Lepisosteus oculatus: one gene and its partners. The protein of the gene in region 1 interacts with the protein of each later gene in a pairwise test. Links are inferred from orthologs where the notes say so. Each region holds a gene or a part of one and is shown in the gene's direction. Other genes may lie near its edges. The genes, in order: hematopoietic prostaglandin D synthase, alpha/beta hydrolase domain-containing protein 17A and meltf.

Region 1 (8,026 bases):
TAAAATCCGTAACTTTGTTTAGTCACCAATAGAAATTCATAAAATACTGTAGAATTGTTATTGACAGTTAACTCAGAATATATTCCACTCACTCCAATTCTCCTTGAATATATTTTCTCCCAGTGGCTCCCATGACATATTTAGAGATATTTTATTGTAAGAATATTAAATTATAATTACTAGGTCATATTAGCATTTTAAAGAGAATAGGTTTCCACATCACCTCCAGGTGGCAGCAGGACAGGCATTTAATAAAAAAACGAAATACTGTGCTTTCTAAGTTCTGTTCCTTTCCAGAAACAACAGGAAACAGACTGGTGATCAGTGTAAGAAACACTGAAAACATTGTAGTGTTGACACTTAGTTTCTAAAAAACACATAACCTTCGAAGCATACTGTGACAAGCACACTAGCCCTTTTGTTTTCAGTCTGAACACAAGGGTGATCAGCTCCAAACAGTAAAGACTTGGACACTTGTTATCTCAATTGGTGTAGACTTTTGAGCAACCTTCTGAAGGTCAGGATGGTGGTCAGGTACAGCTCCAGCAATGGAACACACTCCAGTCTCTGTTGGGGTCAAGAGAATACTACTGAGCCAGATGTATAAAGGTTTAAGCAGAAACTCATTATGTTGGATCATTTATGTGACAGAAACAATATACTTTTGAACACATCCATGTAAAAACGGTCAAGAATCAGAAGCCATCAGTAGGTTTTTGTCTTGTACACTGCACTCTTTTTTTCTAAAGCTGCACTGATGTACAGTAGACAGGACAGAGAACCACAAAACTGTCCTGGAGACATTGGCTCTTAATACACCTGGTTTTTCCTCAAATCATTCCCATTTCACTGCCCACACCACTTTTCACTCCATACACAAATACATATGAATCATAGTGCATTTGAAATATCAAAGACAGTTGTCTGATGTACTTTCAGTGGGGCACTGATTTGAAAAGAACCATCATTTATTGTGGGCTTTGCTGTATATTAGGGGTCATCGTCCTTGATTCCAGGGTGTTACAGAGTCCTCTGTTATGCACTTTAGACCACCTCTTCCTTACTTAATTTAAACAAGGTATTGACATAATTCTCATGAAGATTACCACAATCTCTATCCAACAACCAAAAGACTGGATATCTCCATGATCAAGGTTAGAGACCATTGCTCTACAGGCTAGGATAGAACCTGTATTTCAGTTTGTTTATAAAGAAACCTATTTTAGCTTAGTCTTATTGGCCTTACTGGTCTCTCTTGTTGCTTCTGAACTGTGTGGTGTATATTGTCGTGAGCTCCAAAGTGGCAGTTCCTCAACTGAACTGATTACTGGTCTGAAAGAGCTACATCTGTACAACTAAACCTTTCAGAGCACAACAGTTCCAATTTTATACATGCTAGAATAAATACAGTATCTGTTATATATCTGTTAAATATCTGCATCTAAAGAAGTACTGTAATACTGTACGCCTTAGGAGATAATAGATATTTACTTATTTCACATTTTTTCCTTCTCCTTTTTAAACAAATCGATAAGAGCCCACAAAAAAGAAAAAAAAAGTGAAATGTCTAACAGTTCCGCTGTGCAACATACAGACTGCTGCCACTGTGGTGTCACAGGTTCAGACTGACATGCCCTGTGAAGAGCTCAGGATGTCACTTGGTCCTTTGCGCCAGGTCTTTGGGTTCTGCAGGCATCCTTAATCAGTGGCTAAAGATCATGGTACTGTAATCTGGACTTTTCAGGATTCCTGTAAAGTAGCTAAAAGCTGGGGTGAAATGCAGACCAGAAGACTCTATTGACCAGTTGTTCCATAGTGGTAAAGCAACCCTACAGAAACTGGACCTTTCTTCTCAATCCTGTTTCACAATACAGTTTTGTTTTTCATACAGGTATGTATAAAGCTGGACCACTCACGCAGAAAAAGAATGCCAGAGTACATAAAAAACCAGAAATTTGTATTCAGAAAAATAAAACATATTACTTAAAGGTGCCTTTTATTTAATGAAAAAAAAAGAATTCCCAACTCAACTAAAAGTCAAGTAAGTGTTTAATAAGAAATCAATAAGGCACATAATTGCCATTCCATGAAACTCAATAAGAGCTACTGTCTGTCAATACCAGCTGAAGGTTACTTAGGTGTGCCAAGGTGTCACAAAGTCTGCTCCAGATGGGAGTTCATCTTTATTTGTCACTTTCAAGAGAACAGCCTGCTGACACAGGAGAGCTGACTGAAGCTGATACTGTTATTATTTCTCCAGTAGCAAACATATTTGTGAACTTTATTCACAGCATACTTTTCATTTGAGTGTTTTCAGGTTTTGGTCATTTACACTATCAACTGTACAAATGGTGGTACATTACCTGTGGTGTGGACACACAATTATTGTCCTGGAATCCATCCATCCATCCATTTCCTACCACTTTATTCAATACAGGGTCATGGGGGAACTGAAGCCTTACCCTGAAAGCATCGGGCAAAAGGCAGGGTACACCCTCGACGTTTGATATTACAGTATATCAGTTTTTTACCCATAAATAGTCAATGAAAAAGCTATGAAATGTCTTAAAAATTCTTAAAACCTCAGTAATAATGTTAACATATTATGAAAATATGGCTTTCAGAAGTCAAGAAAATATTACATTTTAACAATCTGTCTGAAATTATTTTATAATAATATGTAGAATGCATTAACAAAAACACGAGCACTTTAATATGAAGTGTGACTGATTTCTATGCAAACTGCATGTAACCAGCACTCAAGAGTGCATTCTGTAGGCTACATAAGCTCTTTTGATCAAGGAAGCAGTTAATACTCTGGCTCATTAATGTCCATCAAATTCCTGTTGTTCATGTACTATTAAGACAGTTTGGATTTTGTGCAGGGGTATACTACACCTGATTTAAAGGAAGAAACACAATTTTCTCACATGAACGAATTTGTAGAATCCCTGTTCTACTGTACTCCCTGACAATGGAACATGGTTACTAGCAGTATAAAAAAAGTTACTAGCACCCAAAGAAATCTCCAATGATTATAAAATGTTAAAATACTTTGTTCATATAAACATTTTACAATAAGGGCCAGGACTGTTCACTCTCCTGGGCACCCTGTTACCTCCCTTTAAACTTTTAAAAACACACAGAAACGACGAGCTGGATTTTATGGATAAGGGCTCACATACTGTAAGGAGCAATTACAGTGTAACTCCGGACTGGGTGAGGTAGCTGTTACTATTATAAAGCTTTGCAAAAAATATTCATGACAGATTCTAGATATTCTTACGTTCATCATTTCAATGCAGTTTACATTTTTAGCATCAGAGAACCACTAAATTCTAAAGAACTAAACAACCTACTGTACGTATTGCGCTCTAGCTGTGTAGATACTGTTTACAGTATGTGTGAATTGCATGTGTTTGACACTGAACAGGCTGTTTTTATGGTTCTCTCTGCTAAAGATAAGTAAAACCTTATCCATAAGGGAAAACATGCGATTAGAAAATCTGCATTTGTATTGTTTTAGATTTTATTTCATACTTTAAATGTGCCTTATGTCGCGACCGCCCACAATCAGAATCCAACCATACGCTGTTCTCGCAAACAACCCCGCATTGTTCCCAATCAGACTCCAGCTCTTTCCAATTCCAACAAACACCGTCGCAGTAAGTAATCAACCACCCAGACCTTTCTTTCATCACCGCACCCTCCACTTCCCAGGTTACCCTTACAACCCTTTGACCTCAATATTGGTTTTCACCTATCGGAACTCCCCTTCTCGTTTTTTGAGACTTCCTTGCGATTTACCTGACTCCTGAACCTGTCGTTGACCAAGGCCTTTGATCTATAAGGAAGCCCGTTTCCACCAGAGTAAAAAAAAGGTGGGGAGAGCGCGCTATGATATCTCACAGTTTCGACTTCATATTTCATAATTATGATTTTTTGCAACTTAAAATCTCGTAATTCCAACTTCTCGTGTTTACGCCTTTATATCTCACAACTGCAGCCTTTTATCTCAAAATAACGACCTCATTTCTGATACGACTTTATATCTCAAAATATCTACCTTATTTCTCATATTTACGATTTCATATCGCACAATTTTGACGTCACTTCTGGTGCCAGCAATGAACATAGCCAGGCCAGGTTGCTCATCTGGCAAAAGAAGCCCACCGTCCACTATTTCATTCAGTTACTATGGAAGCCTCACTGGCAGAAATGGGCTTCCATAAAAATTAGTGTAAACCTACATTAATTCGATTTTTATCAGGGCACTTGACAAGTCTTCAGGCCTATAGATCTTGTATGAGTTATGAATAGAACAAAAGGACAATTAAATGTAGGCTATTTCGAAGTCGCAAATTCGAGATAAAAAGTCAAAATTATGAGACAAAAGTTGTAATTGCTAGATAAAGACGCAATTGCGAGATATGAAGTCGTAATTATGACAAAGTCATAACTTTGAGATATAAAGTCAAAACTTCGAGATAGCATAGCGTGCTTTTTCTTTACTCCCTGGTGGAAACTGGCTTCCATAGGATCTACAATTCAGATAAATACACTCAGATTTTCCTTCTAGAAAATGTTCTAGTAGAAGTTCTACTCCTGTACCCCTTTTTACTGTCAGTCACTGCACAGGGTACTAAAATGCATCTGGCTTGTAGTGTAATAGATTACTGAGCCTCTATTAATGGTAGATCAAAGACCTTCGTCAAAGACAGATTCAGGAGTAAGGTAAATCACAAGAAACTCAAAAGTGAGAAGGGAAGCTCAACTAGATGAAAACCACTACTGAGTGTTGAGGGCAAAGTGGGGAGGGTGATGAAAGAAAGGTCTGGTTGGCTGATTAGTTACTGCGATGGCGTTAGTTGGAATTGGAAAGAGCTGGAGTCTGATTGGGTAAAATTCGGGGTTGCTTACGAGGGTGGCATATGGTTGGATTCTGATTGTGGGCTGTCGTGACACCTTATGCTTCAAATGTAGGTTGTGTCATCAGAGATAAGACTTTGGCATCTTATAAAAGCAGCTGGCTACTTCTGTATTTCTTCAGTTAAAAGGAGGAACAAAACCTCAACGAAACCGCATACAGAATCTGTAAGTCAACACTCTTTTTCAACCTTTCAGCAAAAGAAAAAAACACCTCATGAAATATATTTAATGATATTGTCTTGTAGTCTATGTTTTTCTTACCTTGTGGTTTATAACCCATTTACTACCTTGATATTGTCTTAATTCTGTTACATTTTGATCAGGAACATAGGTCTGAGATTTGTGACTTAAGTTAGAAAAATATCTATATAATCAAACTTTCTATGCATTTGAATTCTGGGTTACAAATGACTGCAAAGGGAAACTAGCAACAATGTTGCTGCTTGGTACACCTGCAAGCATTCTATAATTTTTGGAGGATAGTGAATCTTTGGGACAATAGATTGGAATGGAAAGATTAAAAAAAATCCTCCAAATTACATCATTGCATCATACAGTAGTGGATAGCTTTATTGTTCCGGCACAGGCCACTGTTCTTGAAACTCACTGCTGTGGTCATATCTGTGCTCCCAGGCCAGGGTACCAGGGCTGTGAAGGTTTCAAGGGTGCTGACAGGTGCCAGATACAGCTCAGGTGCTTCCTTGATTCATCCTGACTCTATTTCAGGTGGCTTTAGGCATCCAGCTCCTGCTTTCCCTGTTTCTACTGCATGTTTCTGTTTCTCTGCCATCCCACCAGTACATACATATGTGGGGTTGGCCCCACTCAGGCTCCTTACAGCAGTACTGTAGGAGTGAGAGGGTGGCCTTTATCACTGCCCTTCTCTTCTATTGCCTCATGGTGGGGGGGGGGGGGTCTCTCTGGGGCCTCGAGGCAAAGGCACACTGGTAGATTCTAGTAGTTCTGAGGTTTAAATCATCCAGAAAACTCGCCCAACGTGCTACTAATTTAATTACACTGCCAAGATTTCTCAAGCCGATGACGTGTGAATAGCTTGCTATTTGCTTACATTCCAAACAATCATGCCTCAGTTGTTTCTCTTTGCTCCTTCAGGCACACTTTTGCTTTCGTGCAACACATGCACATGATTAATCCACCTTGCCCCTTAATCCACAGCGACTTCCTCATGTGCCCGTCAGTACTGCTGTGCATGTCTGGGTGCGGTGTCTTGCTCCAGGGTACAACACTGCTCCACTTGGGGTGTGAACCCACAGCTTTCCAGAGCCCTGACCATTGCCTGCTTCATTTCAAAGCTAATTCTCACATGTGAAAAGGCAGTGTGGTAGCATAGAGGTTAGCATTACTGACTGTGGAGAAACAGAACCAGATAAACTGGGAGGGGAAATTGCTCCCATCTTTGTCCTTTCTGCTGTTTGGCTCTCCCTGCCTTTAAAGTGGCGTGATGCCTGGGCCATTTCCAAGAGCAGGGAAACCCTGCACCTCCCTTAAACTCTCAGATGATTCAACAAGAGATGCGCTGCTAAGTTATTTATTGACCAGAGGGTGCTGTGTACAGTAACCTTCCTCTTTAGAAACTTTCCTTCAGACACCAGACAATCTTATTCGCTATGTCAGCAGAAGTGATAGTTCACTACCTATTAAATCTAATGTTTTCGGCTTGTATCATTTTAGAATTTGTCAAGTAGGAAGCCAACAAAAAATGTGAAACTTTTTAAAATGTTATTAATAGGGCAAATTAAACAATATTTATTATACTCTATAAAGTTGGAAATAACACATAGTAATCCCATACAGTAACTGTATTTGTCTAATTCTGTACATTATTTTTTCAGCACAAACATAAGTATAAGATAATTGTAGTATTTGGCATGCCCTGCCTTGCATTTCTTAAGCATCATGAAAATCTTTCGCACTGATGGTTTCAGTTATGAGCCCTCAGGCCTCTGAAAGATTTGCTCATTTGTTCATAAGCATGGATCGTTGATCTTACTTTAGTTAAGTGTGTGTTTCTTGGGAAAACCAGTTTCCTCCTCTGTTTCTTGAGCTTTTCGTCACATTAATTCACGCACTATAGAGCAAAGTATGCAGTCTTTGATATATAGTGGAGATCTGTGTCTTATTCATTGGTTTTAGGAGAAGCATGGCTTCCTACAAGCTCACTTACTTTAACATGAGAGGGAGAGCTGAGCTGACCCGCTTCATATTGGCCTATGCAGGGATCCCCTACGAAGACATCAGAATAGAATGGCATAACTGGCCTTCCATCAAGCCCTGTGAGTAGCTTGCGCTCTGTGTTTTACTTGCATTAATATATCGCAGGAATGCATTACTCTGAAACTCCTTACAATGCAGTTTCACAGAAATTTACATTAGAAGTTATGTTAGCAGGCTGCATTGTTTTGTCAACTAGTTTGTCTTCATTTAGAACAATTCAATTTATGTGCTGGTAAGGATTTAGTTAATGTGAAATGACATTATCAATGAATTAAGCTTGCAGTTAATCTTGGTTTCATTTTGTTTATGGAGAGGGAGCACATTGTCAATAACTACTATAATGTTTTGATTGTTGAGGGTTAAAGTTTTCTTGAAGACAATATCCGAGCACCACACATGCAAGATAAACTCTGCCAAACACATTTCAATTGCAAAAATCCATAAAGCACAATTTAAACTCTGCACAGGTAGCTGGGAACTCTTTATACCACCTTATCATCTCAAATGTGAAGCAATGTTGGTGGGTTGCAGGCTGTAGGTTTGACTCCCAGATGGAGCTCTGCTGTTGTCTCCTTGAGCAAGATGCTGTTCTCATGTAATACCCTGTTATATAAGAGGATACTAGTCATCATTGTACATGAGAATATATTCTTAGTGGTCAAATAAATGATTATTATTAATATAGGATTCATAATTATAAATATTGTAACGCAACGGGGGCTCAGGCGGGCGCCCTTGCCGCATCTGGTCGGCCCCTTCCCGACTGGAGGCTCGAACCCGGGGACTTCCGCGTCTCTCTGCAGCGACCTAGCCCCGTGAGCTAAAGAGAGATCTCTCCACAGCCCAGTAGCTGTGGTCCTGC
Region 2 (7,292 bases), on another chromosome or scaffold:
TATTTTTATATTTGGGACCCCCATGCCGTTTCTCCTGTGAGCAGTGTGTTGGGGGTGGGGGGGTGTCCTGGTCGTGTGTCCTCTGGGGGCGTGGCTGTGCTACTGGGCCCTGGATCTTACAGATTCAGAGACTGGGGCGAGTGGTATTGAACAGGGTCGCGGTGGAGAGGGTGTTTTCTGCAATATTAACAAAATGACAGATAAGGGATTCATGTGGGATTTGTGGAGCAGGCCAGTGTGTTTCGCAGAGCGCAGCCCGAGCCTGGGCTGGTGTCCTGGAGTGGAGGGGATCAGACTGTTCCTCAGAATGGGCTCAGGGGTCAGTCCACCCCAGCATTGCCCCAGTGCGCCATGCATCACGGAAACCCCCCCCACCCCATGCTCTCACAGGGGCATCCTGTGTGGAGGGAGGTTTTTGTGCTGTGAGTGCCTGCTGACTTGGGGTGCAGAAGGCGAAACACCCAACCCCCCAACCCTGCGTAGTGGAGCTCGGTCCCCCTCACGCTGTTAGAGGTGGAGTTGATCGGTAACCCCCAGTCTCTGCTTTCAGTTTGCTTTTCTGTTGATACTGTGAGTGCGTGCAGTTGCCGGATGTGAAGGGCTGGGCTTGGGCAGCCTTGTGATTGAGGTCCTGTGCTTCTTTCATTTTTCCTGTTTTAATGAGCGTATGACACCAGAGGATCTATATTAATATATTGTAGTTAGCTTGGACTGTGTGATTGCGTTTTATTTATTTTGTTGTTGAGTTGGTTGGTGTGAACGGGAGGATATGGGTTGTGTGTAACAGTTTCTTGAACTGTGGGCTGCATTCTGATTAAAAAGGGGCAGAAGCACATTGTTTTTCCACACCGCAGTACTAACGTGCTCTGCCTCAGGAGCTGCTCTAGGTGTCGGGGTCACAAGCAGCCTGTGTCCTCTCCTGCTTCCGGAGGTTGGTTTAAACTTGTGGAGCCAGCAGGAGGATTATATTCTGCCAGTAGAATCTGTCCTGGACCGCAGAGCGGGCTCTTCTGTCGTGGAGCCGAGGAGCACAGCCCTGCCAAGACTGCTGGGGAAGTGAAAGCCCACAGCCGGGCTGCCTCTGGACTCGGCAGTACCGGCACCAGTTCTTTCACCGACTCGGGGAATCCGTCAGGAGCTCAGGGAAACCTGTCCCTGTGGCTCCGGCACCAGGACAGAGGAATGAGGTTCTGGAGTGCCTCAGTTTTCCTAAATTGGTGTATTTCCTTTCCATGTATATTAACAACAATAGAGAATCTAGAACATGCTTCAGTCTTATGGATATCCAGCACAGCAATTAGATTTTTTAAATCAGACTCAATAGTGCTTTGTTACAACATGGGGAAGGGGCGCCCTGGGTCCTTTCAGCTCATCTCTGTGACGGGCTGTCTCTCTGGTGCTTTAATTTTAATTGAGCCATAATTGCTTTAAAGACTCCCACTTTCTTGGTTGCTGGAGATCAGGTGGAGTTAAGGATACGTACACAGACCGCCAGAGAAGACGTGGGGGGAGAGTGTGATCAGGGGCTGCACCTCATCTGTAAATGTAACTGTTTTAATTGTGAGGAGGTAATTGTTTTAATTAGCTCAGGTGAAGCAGATTTTCAGCCACTGATTGCACTGAGATCTCTGGTGCTGGAGACTCACAGTTCTCCAGACTCTGCAAACCGGCAGCTGAGCCCCTGGGAGGACGAGGGCTGATTTGGTCCAGTTAAGACTAATTGCCTCAGCTAGATGTGGCTCCTGAGGGAAAATGACTTGTGGCCCCAGAAGACCCTCGTCAGACCCCTACCCCACACCGCCCCTGTCCTCCTTCACCATCCAGGGAAGACACCTGTTCCTTTAGGATTGTATGACTTCCAAGTATGAAATAAAATCACAAAGTTTATTTTAAATTTAAATGGCTGTGTTCTCTTTACTTTGTGGTCCATTATTCCTGGGCGCTGGTTCCGATTAACCAGCTTGGAGAAATGGTTTGCAGCTGGGATCCAGGTGTCGGGAGCTGCAGAGTGAGCGAACGGGGGAGGGGGAGGGGAGATGTTCTGGTCCTTCTGCTACTCTGGTCGAGGCAACGACAAGTAAAATGGCAGCGGTCTGTGAGCACGCAGACCCACATTCCACAGATGTTTGATCTGAGGGGCTGCAGTGCAGTGAGCAGAGCTCTGTACTGGCGAAGACCTTGCTCCAGGCCGAGTTCCTGCTCTGCAGCAGGGACCGGGCCTCCTCGTTTGAAAGGTGCCATGCAGCAGCGCCCTCTGGGTGGAGGTGTGGCTGTACCACAGCTGCCAGAGAGGGCTTCGTGGTGCCACATCAGCAGACGGCACAGTTGGCTTGCGGCGCCTCCTTCCAATTCATCAAGCTTGTTTGTTCCTCTTCCTGCAGTGAGGGCTCGGGATGGTTTAACCCACGAGGCGCCAGCCAGCTCGGGACGTGTGCTCCCAGACCAGGGGTTCGGATCTGAGCTGAAGGTGGTTGAGGGCATGGTTATGTCTAACAATGTAAGAATAGTTGTTGTAGTGTCACGTTATATTTCAGTATCCTCTAGAAGACTGAAATTGTCTAGTTCACTTTATGGTAAAATCTTCTTTTCCAACTTCTGACTCTCTCCCTCTTCCCTTATTCTGCTCCATCTCCGACTCCCTCTCTCCCTCCCTCAGTCTCCCAGTCCCATATCTTTACAGGATACCTGAGATCTGGGTGTCACTGCTTCTGGATCCTGACACCTCAGGCTGAAACACTAAACTAAACAAAACCACCGCAGGTGTGACAGTGCTGAAGGGAGGGACAATTGGAGCACTAAATCAGACAGATACAGGAGAAGGGAGAAGCTGAATGCTGAAACCCTGCCTGCAGAAATAACCAGCATACCACCTGCCACCAAAGGTTTCAAGGGTTTTGGGGTGGCTGGTGGTATCCTGGTTATTTCTGCTGCTCTGCAGTCCTGGGTTTCAGTCCTGATTGGGGCACATTCTCTGCAGAGTTTGCATGTTTGCATGCGAACCTGCCCAGCGATGGGCTGGTGTCCTGACTAGGGTGAACTCCCAACCTGCGCCCTGTGCTTCTGGGACAGACTCTGGGGAACAGAACAGTCAGGGTTTTACTGCTGTTCCTTTATTGGTGTTTTAGAAAAATATAAGAACAGAGCAGGAAACGTGGGCCATCTCTCTTCCTGTCTGCCTGCCTGTTTGTGCGTGTGAGCCTGTCGCTGCTCTCGAATGTAGGCGATACATGTTCACGAAAGCTGAACTCCCTGAACCAAGATGCTGCGGAGATGCTGATCAGGAGACAGATGTTCTCTCTCTGCCTCAGCCTCTGCAGTTTCCGTGGTGTTGGGTATCTCGGGTGATCTGTTTATGCTGGAGGTGTGAATCAGCTCCCCTCACCCCCTAGGTATCCCTGCTGTCTCTCCTCTTCTCCTGCTCTCCCTACCTGCCATGTATCAGACCACCCAATTAAAACTAACAATTGTTTTGTTCTGAAGAAAGCTGGCCTGGTTTTTAACACCGATATTGTTTTCTTATTGCGTCATTGCTTTTTAATCTGTACACGGCCCTAGGAGAGGGTGCCACGGTGTCTCTGTGGCTAAGGATCTGCGTCTGTGACTGAAAGGTTGCCGGTTCAAATCCCGCGGCCGGCAGAGGAATCCTACTCCATTGGGCCCCTGAGCAAGGCCCTTCACCCCAACTGCTCCAGGGGCGTCGTACAATGGCTGACCCTGTGCTCTGACCCCAAGCTTCTCTCCCTTTCTGTGTGTCTTTGTCTCCTTGGAGAAAAAGCTGTGGTATGCGAAAAGACGAATTTCTAATGCAAGAAATTGTATAGGGCTAATAAAGAAACATTATACAGTGAAGCAGTGCTGTTCAGGTTGGCGCTATATGCGGACAAGTATCTCCTCTTCCTCTTTCTATCATCTTTTTGCTAACACGGAGTGTGAAGGGTCTCATGACTTAACAAAAGTCCATTTTTGGTCATGACGGAAAGCATTGTGCCGGCTGAGGAAGGGACTTTTATTTTTCTACTCATGGGGGTCGGACCGTGTCCCCCCGTTACTGCGACAGTCAGGAATCGGGGATACAGGGTAACGGAAGGGTACAGTGGAGCCAGGAGACCCCCTGTCTGTTTCCAGTTCTCTGTCCGACCAAGCTGTCTTGACTCCCCAGTGTAAACATTTGCGGAGCATTTCCGTTAACCGGATTAGACTCCCGTTCACCTGCCCCGATCAGCCCCGGCAGCCGCGAGACGGACTCTGTTCCCGTGCAGCGGAGCCTCCTTCCGTCACGTCCTGGTTGCGTCACATCCGGTGACGGCGGCGCAGGAGTGAAGAAGGAGAAATGAAATTCTGTACGAAATAACCCTGGTGCCGGGATTCTGGGTCTGTGTCGCCGTGTGGACGGGAAGGGCTGCTCGTCCCGCGTCTCCATGTTTGTATCACAGACCTGGAGCAGCATCGCGCTTCGACTCGGTGTCTGACGGCCCGCCGGTTCTGCTTCGCCTGGACACCAGACGTGTGCAGTGTTTGTTTCTAAATTGATATTATTTTGCCGTTTTTTTTCGTTATCGCTGTAGCATAAATCACTTTTAATCAATCCGCGTGTTGTTTTAGTTTGCGATTCGGTTGCGGGAAACCGTGCGGGATCTCCGCCATCCGCGGACCGGTTAGGGTTGGACGAGTAGAATTGGATGTTAATTTCGACACCGCAGCCGAAGCCCGGCGTGTCTTCCCTGTCGCCACCGCCAGTCGGTCTTGAAACAATGGCTCCGGTGTGGACCAGTCCCCACGACACTGCCCAGTAGGACCCGCTGCGAGTGACGGAGCCCCGTATATCCGCGAGCCGGACTGGGGTTCATGCTGCGCCTCTCGGGACGTTCTTGCTCGCGCGCTGTCTTTCACGGGGTTTTTGTAGAGTCTCCTGCGGAAATAACACCAGGTAATTAACTGTACACAGTTACCACACCGTCCTGCACTGCTGTATAGTGTCCTGTACTGTTCTACACTGTGGAGTACTGGTGTACAGTATACTGTACTGTACTGTACGGTACTGTGTGCACAGTTACCACACCGTCCTGCACTGCTGTATAGTGTCCTGTACTTTTCTACACTGTGGAGTGCTGGTGTACAGTATACTGTATTGTACTGTACTGTACAGTACTGTGTGCACAGTTACCACACTGTCGTGCACTGCTGTATAGTGTACTGTACTGTTCTACACTGTGGAGTGCTGGTGTACAGTATACTGTTCTCTACAGTACTGTGTGTACAGTTACCACATGGTCCTGCACTGCTGTATAGTGTACTGTACTGTTCTACACTGTGAAGTACTGGTGTACAGTATACTGTACTGTACAGTACTGTGTACACAGTTACCACACTGTCCTGCACTGCTGTATAGTGTCCTGTACTTTTCTACACTGTGGAGTACTGGTGTACAGTATACTGTACTGTACAGTACTGTGTGCACAGTTACCACACTGTCGTGCACTGCTCTATAGTGTACTGTACTGTTCTACACTGTGGAGTGCTGGTGTACAGTATACTGTACTGTACAGTATTGTGTGCACACTTACCACACTGTCTGGCACTGCTGTATAGTGTACTGTACTGTTCTACACTGTGGAGTACTGGTGTACAGTATACTGTATTGTACTGTACTGTACTGTACGCACAGTTACCACACTGTCCCGCACTGGTGTATAGTGTACTGTACTGTTCTACACTGTGGAGTGCTGCTGTACAGTATACTGTACTGTACAGTACTGTACAGTACTGTGTGCACAGTTACCACACTGTCCCGCATTGCTGTATGGTGTACTGTACTGTTCTACACTGTGGAGTATTGGTGTACAGTATACTGTACTGTACAGTACTGTGTGTACAGTTACCACACCGTCCTGCACTGCTGTATAGTGTACTGTACTATTCTACACTGTGGAGTACTGGTGTACAGTATACTGTACTGTACTGTGTGCACAGTTACCACACTGTCCCACACTGGTGTATAGTGTACTGTACTGTTCTACACTGTGGAGTACTGGTGTACAGTATACTGTACTCTACAGTACTGTGTGTACAGTTACCACACCGTCCTGCACTGCTGTACTGTACAGTACTGTGTGCACAGTTACCACACTGTACTCAGTATACTGTATAGTGTACTGTACTGTTCTACACTGTGGAGTACTGGTGTACAGTATACTGTACTCTACAGTACTGTGTGTACAGTTACCACACTGTCCCGCACTGGTGTATAGTGTACTGTACTGTTCTACACTGTGGAGTGCTGGTGTACAGTATACTGTACTGTACAGTACTGTGTGTACAGTTACCACACTGTCCCGCACTGGTGTATAGTGTACTGTACTGTTCTACACTGTGGAGTGCTGGTGTACAGTATACTGTACTGTACAGTATTGTGGTCACAGTTACCACACCGTCCTGCACTGGTGTATAGTGTACTGTACTGTTCTACACTGTGGAGTACTGGTGTACAGTATACTGTACTCTACAGTACTGTGTGTACAGTTACCACACCGTCCTGCACCGTCCTGCACTGCTGTACTGTACAGTACTGTGTGCACAGTTACCACACTGTACTCAGTATACTGTATAGTGTACTGTACTGTTCTACACTGTGGAGTACTGGTGTACAGTATACTGTACTGTACAGTACTGTGTGTACAGTTACCACACTGTCCCGCACTGGTGTATAGTGTACTGTACTGTTCTACACTGTGGAGTATTGGTGTACAGTATACTGTACTGTACTGTGTGCACAGTTACCACACTGTCCCGCACTGGTGTATAGTGTACTGTACTGTTCTACACTGTGGAGTGCTGGTGTACAGTATACTGTATTGTACTGTACAGTACTGTGTGCACAGTTACCACACTGTCGTGCACTGCTGTATAGTGTACTGTACTGTTCTACACTGTGGAGTGCTGGTGTACAGTATACTGTATTGTACTGTACAGTATTGTGTGCACAGTTACCACACCATCCTGCACTGCTGTATAGTGTACTGTACTGTTCTACACTGTGGAGTGCTGGTGTACAGTATACTGTACTGTACAGTACTGTACAGTACTGTGTGTACAGTACTGGTGTACAGTATACTGTATTGTACTGTACTGTACAGTACTTGTGCACAGCTACCACACTGTCCTGCACTGCTGTCCAGTGGCCAGCCCTGACCACAGTGTGTCCTGAGTACTGTGCTTTGTCCTGCAGGGCCATGAACGGGCTGTCCGTCAGCGAGCTGTGCTGCCTGTTCTGCTGCCCCCCCTGCCCCAGCCGC
Region 3 (6,991 bases), on another chromosome or scaffold:
CTAGTCATGGCCTCCTGATGCTCCCCCTCTCTGAACTGGCTTCATCACTCTGCTCTCCTCCCCACTGAGAGCTGGGGTGTGGGGAGCGGACTAGCTGACGTCGCGTCATCCAGGTACGCATTAACTGTAAAGTACTTTGAGTGTCCAGGTAAGAGCTATAGAAGTGTAAGCAAATATAATTAAGCGGTTTCTCAAAGCCCTAGAGAAGCTCGCTGCTTTGCTCCCTGATGACCTCCCCGACGCCCTCCTGCTCGTACGGTACAGCGTGGCACGCTGTCGGCGATACCCTGTACTCCATCTCGGGAAGTTCACAATTTCGCCTTGAATGCTGTGTAAAAGTTCTCCCTTTTTTTCCCTGCAGTCTTAAAACCACTTGGGTTCAGACAGTTAAGCTGCACACTGTTCCGGCAGAGACGGCCTCGACCACTCTCTGGGAGCAAATCGCCTCGTTTCCTTGTGCTTCTCTTTTTAAACGACTCGGTTTTCGACAAGGGAGAGTTTTGGTTTTCGGTAATGAAGCTTTCGGTTATTATTTCTGGTTTAGGCCAAGTCCAGGATTTTCTGTTCTTAAACCAGCCAAACGCACCGTCGGTCTAAGAGCGAACAGTCCTAACAAGTTTGTTTGAGACTGTACCATGAGCTTCATTCTCCCCGCAGAGCTGTTTCCCCTTCTAACGGGGCCCCTCTTCGATACACACCCAGCACAGCAGCTAATCTAACGATTTCAGCGCTTTGCGAGCCAGGGAGGCGGTTTCCAGGTGACCGCGGACATTACGAGGAACTCTCCTGAGGGAATTTTACAGCAGGGGGCACGTAATTAATCCACTGGATGGCGCATCGCAACACGGGCCACAGAGCCGTCTGAGGGGCTCTCGCCTGCTCAGCTGACGTCCTCTGCCTGCTAAAACATGTTACATGCTTTGCCCGACAAGGGGCGTCCTCCGCGCTTTTCCTTACACAACACCGAGTGAGCGCAAGGGGGCATTGCGGAGCCGTGCACGTCATACCGCTGCGGTCAGACGCGGTTTGAAGTTTATCAGTGGTTCTGAGGGGTTTTTTTTTTTGTTCCTTGTCAGGTGTCAAATGGTCTTTGAGAAAACCATCACGAGGTGACCACGTTTCACTCCTCGGCCCTCCTGTCGTACGTGTCATTGATCCTGACTACCCAAGAACTCCGGGATTCAGGAAAGCGACCACCCGAACCCCCCCCTGACTAGAGGATAAACAGAACAAGCACCTGCGCAGGTGTTACAGTGTCACAGGGGGACCAATCGATACCAGAGGTCCGCGCCTTGGGGCACTGTGATGACCTCGAACACTCCAGTTCGGTTAAGTGGCCTGGTGCAGCGCAAACCCATGAGCGCTACTACTGTTTCAGATTATGGTCTGTGTACATCAAAACTTGTTTTTTTTTTATTTATTTGGTCACTTTGATGCGGCCCCTTCGGAGTTTTCCGACGAGACGAGAAATCTCAACGTGCTGCTGCTTTGCAACTGAAAGCGTTTAGAAACCGGAGTGACAAAGATGCACTGGTCGTGTTCGTGCGCGGCGGTTTCGAGCCGAGTCCGTTTCAGAACAGCTCACCCGCTCAGATGACGCGCGTTGCCTTAAACCACACTAACGTTTAAGGTCATATCAGCTGTATTTCTATATCTACTTGTCTTATGTCCCAGTGCCCCTGTAAAATATGAGCTCCCTCTAGCTCAACACCGAGCAGTTTCCAAAACCTAATTTTACTGGACAGGGTGTGAAGCGAATACGGTAACATATTAACGTGCTCTGTTCGTGTCTTGTGAAAAGACGTCAAATGCCCATCCAGATGCCATTTTTAACAGCACGGCTTTTTAGCCTCTGCGCTCTTAATTCGTCTCCATCGTTGCTGAAAATGTCAATGACACGGGCTTATTGGAAATACGTGCAGAGCTACACATGGAGTTTGTGTGCTTTGCGAGTTTTTCGACTCTTAAAATGATGGCAAATATATGCAAGGAGTAACTATATATAGATACAGACCATCTATGCAATGGGTCACTTCGAGAATTGCAGAGTTTGTATCTCATGCAACGCTGCTGTATCTCTACGGTACATCAAACGCATCGCATTCAAAGCCCTGTTCCTTCTACTCTGAGGATAGCGTCACGACTCCCCGTTTGCGAGTCTGCTCATCTTCCCGTACGACGACAGAAGAAAGATGAACTACCATCAGTGAAAACTCAGGCCAACCCTAACCTACATAAAGAGCAGTGTCGGCTCACCAGAAATTACGGTATGATCTAACCAGGAGGTTGATCCTCTAAAGAAAACGAAGCTTTAGTGAATGAGGAGTTCTCTTGTAATTATATGACCAATAAAACCCTAGAATTTCACTTATGCGATGCAAAAGACTGTCGGCAAGAGATCCCAGACTTCCATAGTTTGACACAAAGCAACCAAACTGACCACTTAACTATTTCGACACTTGATCACCGGTTATCCAAACGTGCCCTGTCTAGCATTAGTTAGGGCAGGAAAGTGAACAGAGGATCGACCATCAGATTAAGCTTCCCGAACCCCCAACACAGAACCCCATTACTGATTAACGTCGAGTCTCCAAGATCACGGTTAACACTCATCAGAAAACATTTTGTCCAATGAAGACCGACAACTTCATCTCGATACTAATTAAAATGTGTTCTTAATACATTGAAACATGTAAAGATAAATCTAAACTTTTATTGTCGCCTCCGGGGATAGACGTGGCCATCTCGATCACTTCTAAAACAATGTGATTCTGGACAGGCGCGTTTCACTGTGATTCTGAGCTAGTTAAGTCAAAAGGTCTCAAACGGTATCACGACTTGTACCAATCAAACGGATACGTGTAATGAATAGTAAAAATAAGTGAAACGCGGAGTCAAATAGGTAACCACTATTGAAAGCGCCGTGAGGATGGCGTCGTCATTTACCATTTGCGAGACTATTCAGCTTGTAGCGGGGGCATTTCTGATCGGGTTCCTTATCCGCTCCCCATAGACCAGCACACTTTCTTGTGAGTAGGAAAGACGGGACAGAAATATAGAGTAAACAGGTTTGAGCGGGTCACGCACTTTAACTTTCTAGCCGAGCTTTCACCAGCTGCCCTGGGTCCTGTGTGGGTTTTCCGGGATCAGAGACGGATAGACCCAACCCAACAGAGACAGGCTGGGGGGGATTTTGATGAGACATTTGGCAGCACTATACGCGTTTATTGTGAGCTTGAACTTATAATTATAATCGCTAAAACAGACGAGATACACAGGGCCTTATTAAGTAATTGTTTTCACGTCGTCTCATGCGTGGCAGTTTCTAAAAACAGTATTTTACATTGTTCAATAGTGTCGTATGTGATACATGCAGCAAAAATGTACTGAAAGGTTAGTTTTCGTGAAATAACGGGAATGTTTGCAGAGAATTATTAGATTTTCAAAAGATGGTACCATAAGCTGATTTTGAACTGCAATCGTTATTAGTCTTATTTCAGAAGTAGTTACAGGCTGACAGGTTGGTGTGTATTGTAGGTTACTGCACAGACACAGAGGGAGATGAGAGTTTGGTAGGAATAGCTACTACAGTAGGTAATTGTTGCATTGCTGTCTTCTGTTAAGCAGGTGATTAAATGTTCCATGAAATAATTTGAGTGTGTTGTTAATTAAAAACCAGACACACAAATACAAGCCCTGCTTTCTCCTGGTCATGAAGACCATATCATGTATTTTTCCCAAAAGAACATGGTTCTCTAAGTGTCCGTCTCTGGAAGAGTCGTTCTCCATCATAAACCACAGAGCAGGGATCGTAAACACTCTGGGGTTTTTCATTTTGAGTCTCCATGAACTGAAGATCTGTAGGTATTTTAGGCATTAACCGAGTGAAGATTCAAAGTGTCACGGATGAAGAAAAACCTAGCGAACTACCTCAGAATTTGTGGGTGGAAACACACCGAGAATGTGGGGCTATGACTGCAAGTACTTCAAGTGCTTTCTGTTGCTTGACTGTTGCCGTTTCCTTCATGCCTCGGCAATTATTTTAATCTTCCCTTTTGGTCTTTCTGTTTGGCTGCCCTGTTCCACTGTGCAGGCGGCACACCTGGATGTCTCGTTGGGCCGACGGCCACATAAAGCCTTCTGTGTTGGGGTTTCTGGACAGACTCCAGCTCTTCAGACTTGCGGTTTTACGGTGGGGGTGTGTCCGGACTTACTGACTTCGTGCAGAATTCAGCATGAGCGGGCAGTTGCGCAGGAGGAAAACCGTGGCAGGACCATCATAAAACTTTATGATTATTGTGCTGAAAATGCGGATTCGCTCTTTGCGGACTAGTGGAGTTTGCACTTTTGAACCCGGGAGGGTCTGGGCGCAGTAAGACGGTGTGACTCGAGAGGATAAAAGCCAGTGCCAGCTCTGCGCTCGTCCATCACCATGATCGCTTGGACGACGATTTGCTGGGGTCTCTTCACCCTCCAGGCCGGTGAGATTTCGCGGCAGTTCTCTGTTGGCCGAGCAACAGACAAGAACCTAGGCGTTCAGGAGGATAAATTGCAAAATGAGTCTTTTACGGAGTTTTAGAATATCCTGTTGGCGGGGATCGGGGGGTGTAGTGGTGTCTGTTTAAACACCGTTGGCAAATAAATGCTGGATGTAAATTCGTCGCATTAGACTGCCGTGGTCTGTGAAGATCAGTGCTTTATTTCTGGGGGATCTGAAAGTCGGTGTCTCACGGCGGGTACTGGCGCACATTGGAGAGATGTGTCGTTGTTTGTTGTCAGCGCCCAACGGCTGATTTCAAAGTAAAATAACATAATTTACACAAAACAAACACCAATTCTTGTTTTTAGGCTAGGTTTGAAAAATCTTTTTTGCCGGTTGACCTTGTTCCATGACCCTGTATTTACACAGGTGGGCGGTGTAAAAACACATCTGCTGTTCAGAATGAAAACCCTTTTCTATTGAATCATTTCTAATGTGAATAGAAAAGTGCAAAGAATGTTGTTGTTCCCCCCCCCCGTGCTCAGTTGTAGGCCTGAGTACCGTGCGGTGGTGCACAGTGTCGGACCCGGAGCGCAAGAAGTGCGAGGACCTGTCCAAGGCCTTCAGGGAAGGCGGAGTCCGCCCGGAGTTGCGATGCGTTACCGGCGCCTCGGCTCTCGACTGCGCCGCCAAAGTGTCGGTACGTGGAGCCGGACCCCCCGTTTGCGTTTACTGCTTCCATCGCACGGGTCCCGAAACACCTGGTATCCTGAATCCGGATACGCTCTTTTGGTTTTGTTTTTAAAAAATGAAATTAGGAGTGTAAAGGTACTTTGAGAAGCTACCGAACCCGGAACTCGCACAGGACTGTGTGCAAAGACCGGTGCGATTCCGTCTTTGCCTTCTGTCAGAAGGTTCTGATTCAGAATGTTTATATTTAACTTTCTATTAACTGTCTTTCCTCCATAGCAGTTTAAATTAGTGACGATTAACTTAGATATATATAGATATGCATAGTCCCTGAGTGTGCTGTATGTGTGGCCAGGGAACTCATGCATCTATAATGCAGAATATAAAAACACCCAATAAAACCTGTTCTTTTATTAAGAGTTTTCCGAAACTGGACATGATGAAGGGTGTCTTCAATGAGAGTAAGGGTGGTGTTATCCCATGTGTCCAAATACAGTCTGGCCTCCATATGGTTCACCCCTGTCTGTTCGGCACAGTGAGTTCTCCCATCTCCCGGCAGCCCTGTGCCTCTCTGCTGGGTGGGTGAAGTGGGTCCAGTCCTGAACAGCACGTGACGTGTTTCAGGATCCTTTAGGATAAAAACGCTACATGGATGAGAATATAGATGATGAGGAGGAGGATTATTGTTGTTTTTGTTGTTACTGAGTGGGTAGTACTGTACACTGTGGCCTTCCTTTCCTCAGGGCAATCAAGCGGATGCCGTGACCCTGAGTGGCAAAGATATCTATGAAGCCGGGAAGCAGTACAAGTTCAAAACCGCCGTGGCAGAGACATACGGAGAAGGTAACTTGTGAAGTGTTCCGACGTGGCGTCGGCTCGCCCCGTTCGCCGCCAACCCCCCGGCGAACTGCACGCGCATGGGTGCAAGGCAGGAACCTGTTCTGTACCCCCGGTTCTGTCCCAGCGTGTCGCGGGGCGGGGGTCTGGAGGGGCTGAGTAACGACCTGTGCTCTCCTGCAGAGGTGGGGACCACCTACTACGCCGTGGCAGTGGTGTGGCGGAACAGCACCGGCATCAACATCGACAGCCTGGCGGGGAAGAGGTCCTGCCACACGGGCCTGGGCCGCACGGCGGGCTGGAACATGCCCCTGGGCCTGCTGATCGACAGCGGCCGCATGTCCGTCATGGGCTGCGACATCAAGAGAGGTAGAGCAGGTGTTTCGTTGCCTAGTCCTGGACCCGGTGCAGCAGGCCCGGTCCTCCTCTGTCAGCGCACGGGTGTAATGAGAGCCGCTCCGGGCTCCCTTGAAGCATAGTTCAGGACCCTGTGCAGACGGTATGATCCGGGAGTGAGTGGAAAAGGAGGACGGGGAGGAGACGACGAGGGTCAGGAGGGGGTGACAGACAGGGGGGCGTGACGACGGGGAGCTGGTGCTCGGGGGGCGTGGCCAGGGCGAACAAGTCCAAGGAGTCCAGGGGGGAAATCTGGGGCGAAGTCCAAAAGTCCAAAGCCGGGTGATCCAACCGAGACGGGACAAAACAGAGTTGAAAACCGGAACGGGACCCGGTACAGGGACAGGGGAATAAAAACAGGATGACGAGGCCAGGCGCTCCGAGCCCCGGACGCAGCTGGTCAGGACACTGATAGGAGGCCTGTGCCCTCAAGCCGCGGGCGTAGGGCGACTTGGTGGTAGGCGGGCCTCCGGGCGTCTGTCTTCCAGTGCAGAGCCAGGAGTAGCAAGAGCCAGGAGGGGCAGGACTGGGGGCAGGGGCATCTAATTAGCAAAATAAGAAAGAGCCGGCGCGCTCTTAAGAGGAGGG

What was found.
Region 2: the proteins of hematopoietic prostaglandin D synthase (region 1) and alpha/beta hydrolase domain-containing protein 17A interact in binary tests that used the Homo sapiens proteins (3 or more experiments, as listed by UniProt). The two-hybrid records come from large-scale screens. The link is inferred for Lepisosteus oculatus from reciprocal best matches to the Homo sapiens genes HPGDS and ABHD17A.
Region 3: the proteins of hematopoietic prostaglandin D synthase (region 1) and meltf interact in binary tests that used the Homo sapiens proteins (3 or more experiments, as listed by UniProt). The two-hybrid records come from large-scale screens. The link is inferred for Lepisosteus oculatus from reciprocal best matches to the Homo sapiens genes HPGDS and MELTF.

Annotation. Positions count from the first base shown.
Region 1 is NC_090698.1:13,967,471-13,975,496, forward strand, and holds the start of hematopoietic prostaglandin D synthase, read left to right. Parts: upstream 1-5,024; 5' UTR 5,025-5,094; intron 5,095-7,083; 5' UTR 7,084-7,090; coding exon 7,091-7,223; intron 7,224-8,026. UniProt on the Homo sapiens protein: Bifunctional enzyme which catalyzes both the conversion of PGH2 to PGD2, a prostaglandin involved in smooth muscle contraction/relaxation and a potent inhibitor of platelet aggregation, and the conjugation of glutathione with a wide range of aryl halides and organic isothiocyanates.
Region 2 is NC_090724.1:9,560,830-9,568,121, reverse strand, and holds the start of alpha/beta hydrolase domain-containing protein 17A, read left to right. Parts: upstream 1-4,260; 5' UTR 4,261-4,927; intron 4,928-7,225; 5' UTR 7,226-7,229; coding exon 7,230-7,292. UniProt on the Homo sapiens protein: Hydrolyzes fatty acids from S-acylated cysteine residues in proteins. Has depalmitoylating activity towards NRAS. Has depalmitoylating activity towards DLG4/PSD95. May have depalmitoylating activity towards MAP6.
Region 3 is NC_090708.1:2,209,172-2,216,162, forward strand, and holds the start of meltf (melanotransferrin), read left to right. Parts: upstream 1-3,987; 5' UTR 3,988-4,432; coding exon 4,433-4,481; intron 4,482-5,025; coding exon 5,026-5,180; intron 5,181-5,913; coding exon 5,914-6,013; intron 6,014-6,190; coding exon 6,191-6,376; intron 6,377-6,991. UniProt on the Homo sapiens protein: Involved in iron cellular uptake. Seems to be internalized and then recycled back to the cell membrane. Binds a single atom of iron per subunit. Could also bind zinc.